2 linked regions of the Drosophila melanogaster genome follow. Changing the gene in region 1 together with any one later gene gives a genetic interaction. Each region holds a gene or a part of one and is shown in the gene's direction. Other genes may lie near its edges. The genes, in order: Npc1a and sit.

Evidence for each region.
Region 2: of Npc1a (region 1) and sit, changing one suppresses a phenotype caused by changing the other (phenotypic suppression), as found in Drosophila melanogaster (one study listed by BioGRID).

The regions. Positions count from the first base shown.
Region 1 is NT_033779.5:10,214,509-10,223,439, reverse strand, and holds the start of Npc1a (Niemann-Pick type C-1a), read left to right. Parts: upstream 1-2,487; 5' UTR 2,488-2,571; exon of another isoform or gene 2,572-3,561; intron 3,562-4,550; 5' UTR 4,551-4,568; coding exon 4,569-4,661; intron 4,662-5,037; coding exon 5,038-5,208; intron 5,209-5,267; coding exon 5,268-5,424; intron 5,425-5,480; coding exon 5,481-5,557; intron 5,558-5,621; coding exon 5,622-5,840; intron 5,841-5,906; coding exon 5,907-6,099; intron 6,100-6,259; coding exon 6,260-6,579; intron 6,580-6,639; coding exon 6,640-6,930; intron 6,931-6,989; coding exon 6,990-8,382; intron 8,383-8,448; coding exon 8,449-8,931. Other genes in the region: Bcs1 chaperone, read right to left, coding at 1-294; Prosalpha6 (proteasome alpha6 subunit), read right to left, coding at 1,032-1,238, 1,297-1,926, 1,995-1,997.
Region 2 is NT_033777.3:22,557,481-22,565,058, reverse strand, and holds sit (stuck in traffic), read left to right. Parts: upstream 1-2,486; 5' UTR 2,487-2,534; intron 2,535-4,629; 5' UTR 4,630-4,749; coding exon 4,750-4,810; intron 4,811-4,883; coding exon 4,884-5,449; intron 5,450-5,790; coding exon 5,791-6,051; 3' UTR 6,052-6,717; downstream 6,718-7,578.

The DNA.
Region 1 (8,931 bases):
GAAGTCATAGCTGGTTTTGATTGTGCCATTGTCGTTCTGCACAAAGTTTGTCTCCACGCTCAAGTGTTGCGTTTTTCGCGCTCCTCTGATCGTAATCCATTTTAACAGCCACTGATAGGATTTGTCCCGACACGGCACCTCCAGGGTAATCATGCAGTGCCGCCGGAACAGTATCACTCCGCCCTGGAGGCCCTTGCGCAATATGGCAGCAGCGGCGCCCACACCAAATAGTCCAAAACCGGCACCAAAGTAGGGATTTGACGAAAGTCCAGCTACAAGATCGGGCAAAGTCATCTTGTCTGCAAAAACCGAGAACAAGGATCAACGTTTAATTAAAGTGTTTTACTCTTTTTCGGCAATAAAACCCTATAAAACAACACCTGTTGCTTAATCTATCATCCAAAACATGGGTTCCTCCTGTAAACAATGGTACATCTTTTCGAAGCAACTTTTTAAACAAATAAAACTGAAGTCTAACATATACTGTTTACGTGCGCTTCAGCAAAGGCACCAACAATTTTATTTTCTCATGAGAAAACCATGTAATTTTATTATTTAAATCAACCATTTGCCATCACTCTCGTTATGTAATTAATTGTAATTTAGGTGTGAGCAAATAAATATACAAGTTGCCGCTGAAGTGGCACATTTTATTTGGCATAAAAACCATCTTAGAGGATAACTTGTCATTCACTAAAAGCAATCAACATTTTTTTATAGTAGAAATGTTTCAATACCGGCATTGATAAATATTTTTAATCCAACAGTGTGACCGAACTGTGAAATCGGAAAAATGCAAATAAGTTGGGAAAACTTATATCGAAAAACCAATATTTAATAAATACTATAAATAAATAATAAATGAAGGTTTAAAATTAAAATCAAAAAATTTTACCCATAACATTGATTTTTTGTATTCATTTATTCAGTTTGTTCCGTTTTAGGATCTATGCAAATGCATGAACAATTTTATTGTATCCTTGAATCTTACATTTTTAATGGTTAAGATGCTTTCATAGCCCTATAAATGCCTATGGACGCTGCTCGGTTGCAACCAGGACTTCTGGGTCGCGTGGTCCGGCTGCTGGTTCCTCTGGGGGGGATGGGCGATCATCGTCATCGTCGTTCCTGGGCGTATCATTGTCATTCTCTTTGGCAATCGCCACATGCTTGGCGCTGTCTTTATTAGAGAGAATTGTGAATGGCTGGTCTTTGCCGACGATGGCCACAGTGATGTCCTGCAAGAAAAACACAATTTACTAACTATTCGCGACGGGAAATGTGCAATGAACTTACATACTGACCGGCATCTTTGCCTTGCTCATCCGTAGGCAGGGTACCGAGTATAGCGCGAATTCCGTGACGGATGATTTCATCTTTGGAACTGTCCAAGAACTTGTTCAAATTCTTCTCCAGATAGGTGCGTGCACTCTGTGAACGCGATCCGATCGAATTGGCCTTGCAATTGAAAAAGGTCGCCGATGGCGTGACCTGATAGATGTGCGGACCCCTCTCATCGTAGCCGGCGACCAAAAGGCCCACTCCATACGGACGGCGATCGTAGCGCTGAGTGGTCGTCTGCATCTTGTTGCCCAGGTTAGTGATCAGACGCGAGACTGGATAGGTTGTATCGTACGAGTGCTTGTAGTTCAGGCACTCGGAGCGCAAGTACCGGCTAAGGACGCGGGCATCAGCCGTGAGGCCAGCAATGGAAATGCCCAGGTGATCGTCGATTGGGATGATCTTGCGCTGGGTATCCGATAGCTCCGATGTCGGCTTACACAGGGCGACAAGTACAGCGTAATCTTTATTTTTCAGGCCCACGGTTGCGGTGCCAAGTTTCACGGCCTCCATTGCGTACTCCACCTGGTGGAGACGTCCCTGCGGACTCCACACAGTAACATCGCTATCGTACTGGTTGCGAAACTGAAAGCAAAGATGTGAGTTTGTAACAAATGCAGTTAGCACACCATTATTCGCAATAAACACTTTACCATGACTTTTGAAATGCAAGCCGCTGAGCTCAATGATGACAAGTAGAAATGCCCGATAGTTAGTTATGGCACGCCGGGAGACACAAACAAACTGTGTATCGGGTATCGATAAGGGATTCGGGCATGCTATCATTTTTGGAACGATGCAATAGAACATTGTAGGATATGCATACAAATTTAAGGGGATAATGATATTAATTATAATCAGTAAACTTGTATGAGCACCTTGTTAATCGTAGTTAAATTAATTCCAGCACCACATTATACCTGACTACACACGTTTAATTGACCAACAATTACAGCATACCATGTGAGTAATACAATTTTAAACTATAACGGCTTATCGGGACTTAACTAACAATTAAGTTATATTTAGTTTAATTTATTAACTGCATACTTAAAAAATTAAATGAATTTCTTGTTCCATTCGCTTGTTCCCAACTTGCATTCGGAATCACTGCATATCGACTACAATCGATTGTTTTGCCATTAAGTCTGATAAGCTGTCAGTGGGAGTGTTTACGTTTTAATTGTATATTTCAGTTAGTTTTCACTCTCTCCTGTTTTGGGACCGAGGGTTTGTAGCTCCGTAATCGGATTGTTTGTCGAGGGTATATGCTCGCCTATATATATACCTCCACTCGAAAGTGTTAGCATCAAAATTGCATTGTTAAGATTAGTAGAAAGAAAGATTTTCGTGCGCACCTTAATCATAAAGCCGTGTAATTTAATTAACTGAAGGAATTAACTAAGGTGACTTCATTGCACACACACATACACACAAACCGCTACATACATATGTACACCTCATAATATCCCTATATACGTATGTGCACGAACAAAGAAAACATTTTTATTGGTTCGGCGCATTACTAATGTTTACAATTAACGATTTCTGTGAAAGTGATAGTATACTTATATTGCGTGCCCTTCAATGCGGCTACTGTTCGCTGTCCGTATTCCCATATCTTCGCTACAAGATTGCTTTATTCCGTGACATCCGCTTAGCTACATATCCAAATAGCGCAAAATAAATATATAAATAAAACATCGTGAATGGACCAGCACAGAATATTTCAATCCGCTGATCATATCCCATTCCCGATGCCATTTACCAAATGCGACTGACCACCAGCCAAATTTGCATGTGGCGAAGGGAAAAAAGGCAATCGAAGCGGTTGTGTCGATTTCCCAAGAAGTTGTACATAGTACGTAGCGAGCGAGCATAATGGAATTTCCCCCTCCATAAAATCAGACAACTAGTTGCATCATCACTTTCTCAGTAGTCGTTTAGTATTGTAGATACATATAACGAAAGCCAGTTAACGACAATGCGTTTTAGCGCGAAATTTAACGTATCAATGTCAAAGACCAAACCCGACTTATGTATGTAGCTCCATGCCCAGCTACCTTGTTAACCTAGCTAGTCGGTATCAAATGGTCTCAGTGTTCGTGGATTCACTCTATATTGACCATTGGGTCACAATTCTTGAACTGCTCTTAATGGATCACGAGTTTTTTGGATATTAAAACGCATTTTGTGTCAATTAGCACACAAATCATAGGTGTACGATTTCGAAAACTATTTCAATTCTTTTTGTCATGCATTTTTTATAGAATATTTTCAGTATACAAGATAGTAAAATCATTCATCTTTTTTTTTAAATACGAATGCAATTGTTTAGATTTATCTTAAATTTATTTTAATACATATTCTAGTTTGATTTTTATGACACAAAGTCATAAAGATTTATAAATATTAATTTATTAAAAGTTTAACCATCGTTTTGTCAAAATTCCGCTATTAATTTTAGCATTCTTAGAAATTTTGAATAATATTTTATTAATTCATATTCATGCCTAACAAAACATGTGGTATTTTTGAAAATTTTACTAACATTTTTCTTTGTAAATACAAAACATTTTGGCAAATAAAAGTTAAACAAATTCGAAACAAACGCAATCTTTTATTTTGGTATATTTGGTTTTCATATCGGTATATATTATTTTAATGAGTGGAGGGATTATCCGAAATTCTAAACCACCCAACCATATAATGTGCACTGTTTTGATTACATTATAATTTCGAGTATTTGATTACACCATTCAGCAATATATATTGACTGAAACTGAATGGATATTGAAGCGTGGCAATGAATCAGTTTTATTGTTATTCTTTCCTTAGGAGGCAGTTCTATTATTAGGAATACTGCTTATCGAATTGCAGCGCATCTGCAGAGTCTAAACAACAATTTAATCGCCAGATATCGCAATTGCGAGTTGCAAGTGTTCCAAAACTCACTTCGTTGTATATTTTGTATATATATATTTGGTTTGCTGGAATAAATGTTTATTTAATTCGTTGGAAAACGGTTTCATCTGGCTAAACGCAAATTTGCATGAAGTGTACTTTATTTGTGTAAGCGAAAACGTTGAATTTGCCAGGCTCGGATTACATTTGATTCAGTTCTTAGTCGAAAACCGAGACTCTTACTTCGAATATCATACATAATAGTAAGCCCAGGTGCATACTTTAACCAAAAACGTTCTTTACAGATATGCGATTGTGATAGAATGAGTCCAAGATCCCCGCTCAGGATATCTCCATTTGGAGTACACATCCTCATCGCTGCTGTGCTCTTTACGCTAATTCAATCATCGAAACAGGTAAACTAACATTTGGTTTTTATCATTAAATTTCAATATTTTATCAATATTAAGCATACTGGGTTTTTAATCGCGCAGATTAGTCGTCGTAAAATCATTTCTGAAAATGGACTGGTAAATTGTATTGGAAAAGCTGTTGTTTCACCTCAACAATGAATGAGCTAAAACAGATGCAAGGCAATTAGAAAAAATATATATTTTTATAGCTCTGGGTGGCGGTGAGATGACGTACTTAGTTTTGGAAGTAATATTTAAATTTGAAAAAGGTATTTGGGGTCAGCAAAAAGATAGCTAAAAACCAGACTTCAACTTAGCTTAGCTCACTCTACATATCTCTGCTCTATAATGTTATTAACTTATTTTGCAACTTTTTAAGGACTGCGTTTGGTATGGCGTGTGCAACACCAATGACTTTTCGCACAGCCAAAACTGTCCGTACAATGGAACAGCGAAGGAAATGGCAACTGACGGTCTGGAGCTGCTGAAGAAACGCTGTGGATTTCTGCTGGAGAATAGCGAAAACAAATTTTGCTGCGATAAGAATCAGGTTATGAGTAGCATTAGCTTTGCCCAGGCGTCATAATTATCAAACAAATGCCTTTGCAGGTGGAGCTCCTTAATAAGAATGTGGAGCTGGCCGGAAATATCTTGGATCGATGTCCATCCTGCATGGAGAACTTGGTGCGGCACATCTGCCAATTCACCTGTTCACCAAAGCAGGCTGAGTTCATGCATGTGGTGGCCACGCAGAAAAATAAGAAAGGTAATCATTATTAATAGCTTATTAATTATTGAATAATTATATATTCCGAATTTCAGGTGATGAGTACATAAGTTCTGTTGACTTGCATATATCAACGGAATACATCAACAAGACTTATAAATCGTGCTCTCAGGTACTTCTGGATTCCATATACATTATTCATTGATCGAAAATAATTATTGTTTGTGTTCAAATAGGTTTCTGTACCGCAAACGGGTCAATTAGCTTTTGATTTAATGTGCGGCGCTTACTCAGCATCTCGCTGCAATCCTACAAAATGGTTCAACTTTATGGGCGATGCCACCAATCCATATGTTCCTTTTCAAATTACCTATATTCAACATGAGCCCAAATCAAATAGCAATAACTTTACGCCCCTCAATGTAACGACCGTTCCTTGCAACCAAGCAGTTAGCGTATGTACCTACTATCCTTATTGGAAATTCATTTCATTTTGTGCTAAATATATAAATTGCTTGTAGAGCAAACTACCTGCGTGCTCCTGCTCGGACTGCGACCTATCCTGTCCCCAGGGACCGCCGGAACCGCCCCGTCCAGAGCCCTTCAAAATTGTTGGACTCGACGCCTATTTCGTCATCATGGCAGCTGTCTTCTTGGTGGGAGTCTTAGTATTCTTAATGGGCTCGTTTCTGTTTACACAAGGTTCGTCCATGGGTGAGTTTTACGCAGTTAAATTATTCGTCACTAGTTTCATATCTGAATGTTAAGTGTACTTCAAATTACACTTTCTGTGTGAATAATTTGCAAAACTCATGAATGAATGAATGAATGACCATTTTAGTAGCTTGAAATATAATGAATTTCCCTATTTCAGATGACAACTTTCAAGTGGATGGCAATGATGTTTCCGATGAAATGCCCTACAGCGAGAATGATTCATACTTTGAAAAACTTGGCGCCCACACAGAAACTTTCCTGGAAACATTCTTCACCAAATGGGGAACGTACTTTGCTAGCAATCCTGGCTTGACTTTAATTGCCGGAGCATCCCTGGTTGTTATACTGGGGTATGGCATCAACTTTATAGAAATCACAACGGATCCGGTTAAACTTTGGGCTTCGCCGAACTCAAAATCCAGACTGGAGAGAGAGTTTTTCGATACGAAGTTTTCGCCATTCTATAGGCTGGAACAGGTAAGCTTTTGAGATATAATGGTTTTTTTTGCATAATCGTAATCTTTATCTATCTTGTAGATAATCATCAAAGCTGTGAACTTGCCACAGATTGTGCACAACACCTCGAACGGCCCATACACCTTCGGTCCCGTCTTCGACAGAGAATTTCTAACAAAAGTGTTGGATCTGCAGGAGGGCATCAAGGAAATTAACGCAAATGGCACACAGCTGAAGGATATATGCTACGCGCCTTTGTCGGATGATGGCAGTGAAATCGATGTGTCCCAGTGCGTTGTCCAATCGATTTGGGGATACTTTGGCGATGATCGAGAAAGATTGGATGACCACGACGAGGACAATGGATTCAATGTAAGTCAAATATACTTCAATAGATTTGCTATCAGGTTCGAATTCGGTTTTATTCATAGGTTACCTATTTGGATGCCTTATACGATTGCATTAGCAATCCCTATTTATGCCTAGCTCCTTATGGCGGTCCCGTAGATCCAGCCATAGCACTTGGAGGATTCCTGCCACCTGGAGACCAACTGACTGGCAGCACGAAATTTGAGTTGGCCAATGCGATCATTCTGACATTCCTGGTCAAGAATCATCATAACAAAACCGATTTGGAAAATGCCTTAACGTGGGAGAAGAAATTCGTGGAGTTTATGACCAACTATACGAAGAACAATATGTCGCAGTACATGGACATAGCCTTCACATCGGAGAGATCGATAGAAGACGAGCTCAACAGGGAGTCCCAGTCGGATGTGCTGACTATTTTGGTGTCCTACCTAATTATGTTCATGTACATAGCGATTTCGCTTGGCCATGTCAAGGAGTTCAAGCGAGTGTTTATCGACAGTAAGATAACGCTTGGCATAGGCGGTGTCATCATTGTTTTGGCCTCGGTAGTGTCGTCCGTTGGCGTTTTCGGTTACATCGGTTTGCCGGCCACCCTGATCATTGTCGAGGTCATACCGTTTTTAGTATTAGCTGTCGGAGTGGATAACATTTTTATTCTGGTCCAAACTCATCAGCGCGATCAACGCAAACCCAATGAAACGCTTGAGCAGCAAGTTGGTCGAATACTCGGCAAGGTTGGACCCAGTATGCTGCTCACCTCGTTGAGTGAAAGCTTTTGCTTCTTTCTCGGTGGCCTTTCTGATATGCCAGCCGTAAGGGCTTTTGCCCTATACGCCGGCGTAGCCCTCATCATTGATTTTCTATTGCAAATAACCTGTTTCGTTAGCCTATTTACGTTGGATACGAAGCGCAGGGAGGAGAATCGTATGGACATTTGTTGTTTCATCAAGGGCAAGAAGCCGGATAGTATAACTAGTAATGAGGGACTCTTGTACAAATTTTTCAGTAGTGTTTACGTCCCATTTCTGATGAAGAAAATTGTGCGCGCCAGTGTGATGGTCATCTTTTTTGCCTGGCTGTGCTTCAGCATTGCCATTGCGCCACGAATCGACATTGGGCTGGATCAAGAGTTGGCTATGCCGCAGGATAGTTTCGTCTTGCACTATTTCCAATCGTTGAACGAGAATCTCAACATTGGTCCACCAGTGTACTTTGTGCTGAAGGGCGATCTAGCCTATACGAATAGTTCGGATCAGAATTTGGTGTGTGCAGGTCAATATTGCAACGATGACAGCGTACTCACGCAGATCTACTTAGCCAGTAGGCACTCTAACCAAACGTATATCGCGCGTCCAGCATCCAGTTGGATCGATGACTACTTCGATTGGGCGGCAGCAGCATCATCCTGTTGCAAATATAGAAAGGATAGCGGCGACTTTTGTCCGCATCAGGGTGAGTTTTGACCTAATCCATAGTTGAGCATAGAAAATATCTAATAACATTTCGTTCATATTTCAGATACTTCCTGTTTGAGGTGTAATATCACGAAGAATTCACTTCTTAGGCCGGAGGAAAAGGAGTTTGTTAAGTATTTGCCATTTTTCCTGAAGGACAATCCCGATGACACGTGCGCCAAGGCCGGTCATGCCGCCTATGGCGGAGCTGTTCGGTATTCCAACAGCCATGAAAGACTGAACATCGAGGCGTCGTATTTTATGGCATACCACACCATACTTAAGTCCTCGGCCGACTACTTTCTGGCCCTAGAGTCGGCTAGAAAGATATCCGCGAATATTACGCAAATGTTGCAGGGCAGACTAATGTCAAATGGAGTTCCTATGGCATCGGCCCTTACGGTCGAAGTGTTTCCATATTCAGTATTCTATGTGTTTTACGAACAATATCTGACCATGTGGTCGGATACGCTACAGAGCATGGGTATTTCAGTTCTTTCCATATTCGTTGTTACATTTGTTTTGATGGGCTTCGATGTTCATTCCG
Region 2 (7,578 bases), on another chromosome or scaffold:
CTACAGCTGTGTATAAAATAATATTTGTATAAAAATTTAATTCAAAGAGTTTTAGCCAAGTTTTAGTCTTAACTTTTGTAGATTTAAACCAATATTTTTCAGTCATGCTTGCAACACATCGAAATTGTTAAGCTTTTTAAGCTTGGCTTTGCAAACTTGAACACCAGATGGCGCCAGCAGCGTGTGAAAAAGCCAAGCTCGGAAATTGAAGTCGGCGGACCGCAAAAAACTTTAATGCGGCCAATTAAACATTTAAGAGCCTCATTTGCAATTGCTGTTAACAATCTTACGACTACAAGTTGCTGTAGGCAGGAAAATAAAGTTCGTTTTATTGGAGTAACTTTGCTGAAATTGTTTGATCATCGGAAATCAATGATTCAACTGTTTGACGCCCTTGAAAGCAGAAAAATCACCAGTTATCATAATTACTTTATAATGTTTTGTCCCATCGCCAATTGAGGGTTCTACAAGCCAAAGACATTTTGCACATTTGATTATTACCCTTGCGACTCAATTTTGTCTACGCAATTTGCCGCGAATATACAAACAAATTCAATAATAATTGTTTAACGGTTTGTTCGCCAGTTTGACTGTTGGCTAAATGTAAATGTTTGCGGAAGATATTTGCATAACTGGCAGCAACCCCTCAGATACATTTATATATACATACATACATACATACATATATATCGAACTCGATCGCATGAATCGTCTGCAGCGACAGCGATAATAAACTAACGTCTTTTGCATACGATTATGATCCGCTTGATGGCTGGTGGCCAAACAAAAGACGAATGCAAATGAAATCCGAAACACCGGAAGAATTTGTCACTGGCTGAGGCGCACACGGCGTATGATTGATTCCTGGCCAACGAAGGGATTCACCCGATCAACCATACGCCCGGTCGACATTCACCCACATCTTATGCAGTCCACTCGGATTCGAACTCGAACTGGTTGGCATAAGCTAATCGGCAAGTTCAAGTTCAATTCGCCGGTGACACAGTTAACATTTCGGTGACCCCAGCCTCAGCCTCTGTTTTTTTTTTTCTCAGACATCGAAGTTCGAAGTCTTGGCCAAAATAGTTGCTATCGGTTTGGTTTCATTAACTTGACCCGGAAGTGGGCCTTAATCGATGCGCTGCGATCATTGTGGGTCGTTAGAATCCGATTCCGAATCTGATTCCGAGCCCTGGGCCCAAAGAATTTGTATGTAAATTGCCAGGTAAATGCGCCGTTTCCTTGAATAAACTTTACAAACACTTTTAACGAAATACTTCTGGCTGTAAACCTTTCCGCTTTATGCCGATAATAGCAATGTTTTAGGCTTGTTTTAAATAGTTTTCAAATTGCTTGTAAAACAGTCTAGGGAATTTCGCTGATTCGCCAAAAAAAAAGGTCAACGAAATTATAAACCACCTACGCAGTTTCAGTTCAGTTCAGTTGGGTTAGGTTCTAAAGTTCATACTGGAGTTAAAGCGTGAATAAGTATTTCAAGTGGGTCAAGGTTACGAAAGCGAATTTGGATGAAGATATAAAAAAAGGGAGAATTACCAGAAACCGAAAACAAAATAGAATGAACATTTCATTCTGAGGCGATTTGAGACTATTTCTAGGGTTTGTTGTCATATTCTGGCTAATGATGAAAGAGCCTAAGGGAATGGATAAATAATACTCTATAATGACTGAATGTTGTTTAAAAAGCTATTAATTGAGAGAAAATGAAAGTATCATTAGGGTACACATACGTATATGTAGAATATATTCTCATTTGATAGAATGTTAGTTTCTGTTTGTTATTAGCAAACTAATCAGAGTTGTCCGCTGGGATTGGCTGTGTTTTCTAAAATAAAAACATTTTACTTTGCAAATGTTTAAATGAATTTTCTGTTTATTAGGTCTTGTTATTCAAATTTCTGGAAGCACGCTCAATGCCATAAATTCGCTATCCTCTAAGTTCTACCGCAATCGCTTTGACCAAATCGATCAAAAGTGACAACTATTCAAGAATATTTTATGATTCTTTTAATTGTACAAAAGGCTGCACAACCAAATACAAAACGAATTAAAAGCCAGACGATTTTGGCCAACAACAGCAACAAAAAGCCGGCAACACGCACACACAACACCAACATTGTTATCGCAATTATCATAGAAAAACGAGACCATACGAGACCATTCGATACATTTTGTGTATGTAGCATATAGCATATAGCGTTTGGAATCCACGAGGCACAAAAGAACATCTTAAAGCTAAAGCTAAAGTCAAAGATGAGGATGAGCAAGATGCCAAATAGCCGAGACAAAAGTTCGGCTAAACAAAAACTAAAGCTGAATCTAAACGCCGAACTGAAGATGAACTGAATACAGATACAGAAACAGATACAGATACAAAAACAAATCGGAAGGCAGAGACGAAGAAACAGCAGTGCCAAATCGAACCTTTAGTCGAAATTTTTATACATAGCGCCGTACAACTCGGCGGAGCAGTTCAGTGCGCGTACAAGTCTCGTGGGTAGCGGATGCCAGCAAAGGTATCTCCCCACTATACAATAATATACCATACTAAACTATACTATACCACACCACACCACATAGTGCCTCATATCAGCCTCATTTGAGCAAGACTAAAGATGGAACAAGACTAAAAAACAGTTGTCACGGTGCTAACATTAAGTTGTCGTCGCTCAAAATTAAGTGCACGGCAATCGAAGAGATTGCAACAGGTGCCCAACAAACCGCTTCATCTGTGTGTGCCAGTGTGTGTGTGTAGATATATCTGAGTGATCAATCAGATCAATCGTTGGAGGCGAGCAGTTATAGAATTCGTGGCTTAGACTGGATTGATACGCTGGTAGAGGTCCCTGAAAGTGAAGTTCTGTAGCTATTCAATCGACAGATCAGCTGACAAGGAAAGGTTTATAAAGTTTGTGCATTTCAATAGTTAGGGTACATATCCTTAAAAATCAACAAAGTATTTCAACACTTAAAAGGCTAGTAAAGATGAGCAAGGATACGCTTGTGTTTACATCTTTCTAAAATTTGCTTAGAAGCACAAGTAGATGATACTTCATATTTTGTATCTTTCACTTCCATGCCTAATATTTAGCTTAGATCAGCAAACTTTTTTTTTTTGCATAGAACAAGTGCCATATGAGGAGTTTAGCGATCTCCACCTGTCAAGGTCATTAAACCAATGCGACACATATTTGATTTTGGCAAAAACAAAACCGCCGTCGTCCAAATTGGGCAATAGGTGACACAATTTTCTATTTGCTCGCTCTAGGTGCTTCCAAGGTTTCCCACATCTCCGGACATTTACCAAATGACTAACCAAGTGGAAATACCCTCAAATTGGCTGGCGATGATCAGCCAGACACGACGGCGTCCAAATGATGCGACATCTTATGGCTTAGATCATAATTCCCACCCATTCCCGAACACACACAAAATAAAAAAGAGCAAGAAACGCATGGCAAGGTCGTAATTCCAACTGAAAATTGATAAACTGGATTTTCTTGGCCAGTATTTTGTGCGGCCAACAAAAGTGTTTAGCACCTTTTGGCTTATGACTGCCATTTGTCGCCTTCCCCCTCAAGATTTTCTGGCCCCATTCTGCGCTAACTGTTGCAGGTAATATTCAAACGGAGCCATAACACCTGAAGTGCAGGAAATGACCGGAGAGCTGAAGCCAAACCTGTTGATGGCTGCTGATAGCCGACTGGAGTGTTGGCCAAGTTGCCCTTCAAAATATCTCCTCAGTCGTTTTTTTTTTTATTTCAATTTGTTCCTCACTTCGCAGACCAAGAAGCCGATCAGAATAGCCTCGAAAACGACGCAAGAAATCATAATGCTATTCGATTATTTTGTGGTCTTAATCGGCCTTAGCCAAGTTCAAGTGTGAGTCGACTTCAAGTCAACGAACGTGAATGCTTGGAATTTAGCATGGGTGCTTGATAGCTCGATGGTTCTCAAATGCCCCCTTTGGAGGAGCAAGTTCTTGGCGATGATTAATCACCGGGAGTACCACTTCACTCTGTCCCACTTTGGACTAAACGACTTCTGTAGAAGATCCCCGAGATCCGTAAGAGAGTGGCAAGCAACAGCTCAAAACCAAACAAACTGCACAACACAAATATAATTTAGCTGGGTGTGCGAGTGGGTTTTATGCGTTCCACACGTGAGGCACTGAGGCACTGCCCAATTTACTTGGGTCTTGTATCTCGGGTCGTGAGGCAACCAACCAACCATGGTATGGGCCATATGGAGTTGAAGTTTTGAGGTGGCCACCAATTTGTTGCGGGCTGTTGTGCGCTGCGGTTGTTTAATTCATAATAATGAATATAATTTACTGTTACTGTTACATGATAATTTCACGGCATTTCACCGTCACCGTCACACATTTGCTATTTGCTATTCTCCTTCGCCTTCGTTTGATTATTATTTTAATTTTATTTAGATTTCTGGGCTCGGCAACAGCAACAGCAAAAGCAATGGCAAAAGCTGTAGCTGAAGCTATAGCTTTGGCATTAGTTGCTCGAGAATCGCATTAACATAACTTAACTACGAAAACTCGAAAAGATCTTTCCCTCATCCAGACTCCCTTCCGATCTTCCCAATTCCATTTAGATTTCGCAAAACTCGTTCGTTGCGACGCAGGCTAAGCAGATTTTTGAATTTCACATCGAAACGATCGTCGCTATATAATCGTATTTGTGGGAGCAAGAGTCCAACGAGGAGAATTTAAAAATGGCAGCCGTCAACGCAACACAGGTGGACTATTGGAATTTTCTGTTCACCGATCTGGCAGGTGAGTTGGATGGGGAGGGGAACTACCTGTGCCGCATATAGATGCTGATCAAATCCCTGATATTCCCACGCAGATCCCCGCACCAATGACTGGTTCCTGATCAAGTCGCCACTGCCCCTGCTGGGCATCCTGGCCTTCTATCTCTTCTTCGTGCTGTCCTGGGGACCCAAGTTCATGAAGGATCGCAAACCCTTCAAGCTGGAACGCACCCTGCTCGTCTACAATTTCTTCCAGGTAGCCCTCAGTGTTTGGATGGTCTACGAGGGCGTGGTCATCTGGCAGTACTACAGCTGGCGGTGCCAGCCGGTTGATTGGTCCCGCACACCCAAGGCGTATCGTGAGGCGCGCGTCGTCTATGTCTACTATCTGGCCAAGATTACCGAGCTGCTGGACACCATTTTCTTTGTGCTGCGCAAGAATGACCGACAGGTGACCTTCCTGCATGTCTACCATCACACGGTGATGCCCATGATCAGCTGGGGCACCAGCAAGTACTATCCCGGCGGACATGGCACCTTCATTGGCTGGATCAACTCCTTCGTGCACATTATCATGTACTCCTACTACTTCCTCTCCGCCTTCGGACCCCAGATGCAGAAGTATCTGTGGTGGAAGAAGTACATCACCAACCTGCAGATGGTAAGAACGCTTTATACGCTATCCATAGATATCTGTAGTATTTCAATTTGAGGGGTTATAAGAGGTTTATTACTTGCTTTGCTAATGACTTCATCTTAGAACTAAATAGGAAAGCACTTAAGTGGAAAATATTCAAATGTATTCTTTGATTTTAGGGCTGCACTTAAAAGTGATATATAGTTTTATTTTGTTGTGAGATACTAGAGCTCTACAACCATTTCATTTTAAAATTATCTAGATTAGTATAAGTACAAAACAGATAGATTCAGAAATAGATAGCACCTCATTCTTCCTTATCGATAGCTCTTAATGGTCTCCCGATTTTACGATTATTCTTACAGATCCAGTTCTGCTGCGCCTTCATCCACCAGACGCAGCTGTTGTACACGGATTGTGGGTATCCCAGGTGGTCGGTGTGCTTTACCCTGCCCAACGCGGTGTTCTTCTACTTCCTGTTCAACGACTTCTACCAGAAGTCCTACAAGAAGAAGCAGGCTGCTGCCAAGGAGAAGGCTCTGTCGGCGGATAACAATAATGATGGATGTGCCAAGGACCTCAACAAGGCAATTCAGCTGCAGCAGGAGAAGCAGAAGGCCTTGTAAGAGGGAGGAGCACAAACACCCACCGCCACCCACCCACACACACCACCCTCAACACACAAAACCCCTTCAATACTCGTACAAAAGGGCGGGTAGAAACACCCACTGAGAGCCACCCATGTTCTATGTGCAACCTTGTTGACTAATTTCTTAAGTAATCCGCCGCCAAATAGACGTGAAGCACGAAAAAAAAAAGAAAATCAGAAACGAGACGAATAGATATTTGAGCAAATGAGGTTTTCGAGACACAGATACACATATTATGTAAATGTAAATGTAAATGTTCAAACAGTTGAAATTGCTTTTTGCCGCCATCGTCATCATCATCGCTCGCTCCGTTTGAAGTTCGCCATCGTGTCGGGCGGACCCAAATGAAAGAAGTCGTATGTCTTTCGGCCAAAACTGAAACTGAACTAAGTTAAGTAAACAGGCAGAAGAAGCGTTAGTTGTGTAAATAAGTGTAGGTACGCATGCGAATGTGTTTTCTTTAGATTTTATATACGTGTGGTATGTAAAGTAGGCATTAAACAAGTGAAAAACTAGCTAATAACGAAACCATAAATACAAACACAATTTACAAATAAATCTAGAATTTTTTCTACAAAAATATCGTAAAAAAACAATGAGCCTTATTCTTTATCTTATGAATGGGAAATTAACGGAAGTGAGAACTGACACTCCTAGTGTCAATATACTGAAAAAGATCTCAACTTTGCTTTTATGGGAATTTTTCATATAAATCTGTTTTTATGTATCGTATATTTGTCAAAAAAGTCTGACATTTTTAATTAATAGATCACTTTATCAGGATCATGTACCCCATACTATTTCTTTATAGTTTGAATGATCTTGTTTTCAATACATTTAAAAGTTTTTTCCTTTTGACGCAATAATATATTATACTTTTAAATGAATTACTTTTCATTTAAAGAAATAATGAATTAATGCAATTGGCCTTGAAAACATTGCATATTCAAGCATTTCCTGTAATCATTTGTGTTCATTCAACTTGTATTTATGGTTTCAAGCCACTTTAATGGTATATTTGTCTTTTCGACAACATTGGGGTATCTCCCAAAGAGCAATCACACCCATTTGCATCCCAATCTAGCCATTCATGATCTCAGTAAGCCTCAGATAAATCGCACGAGGTAACCTTTGCTCAAGGAACCAACTCAAATCGATTGACCAGCTGATATATGTATGTATAACCAAGAACCTATTCATTCAGCAGCGGAAGCCAAAATGATTTAAATTTGAATGGGCGTGGCTAGTACAACTGGTCTATGGGGTGATGATCTGGACACGATCGGTTCATGAATTTTTACGAGACTCTGGAAAGACGACCACTTGGCCACTCATTAGAGCTCATTTCGCAGGCACCTTGAACGGCGGCGACGGAGGAGATAAGATTTTGATAAATTCCGCAGCCTTTTATTGATCAATCAGTCAAGACGGAACGCAACTGAAGCGGAAGTGAAAACGCATCTTCGAGTGGGGTTGCGGCCATCCGATGTGCGGATACAGTAT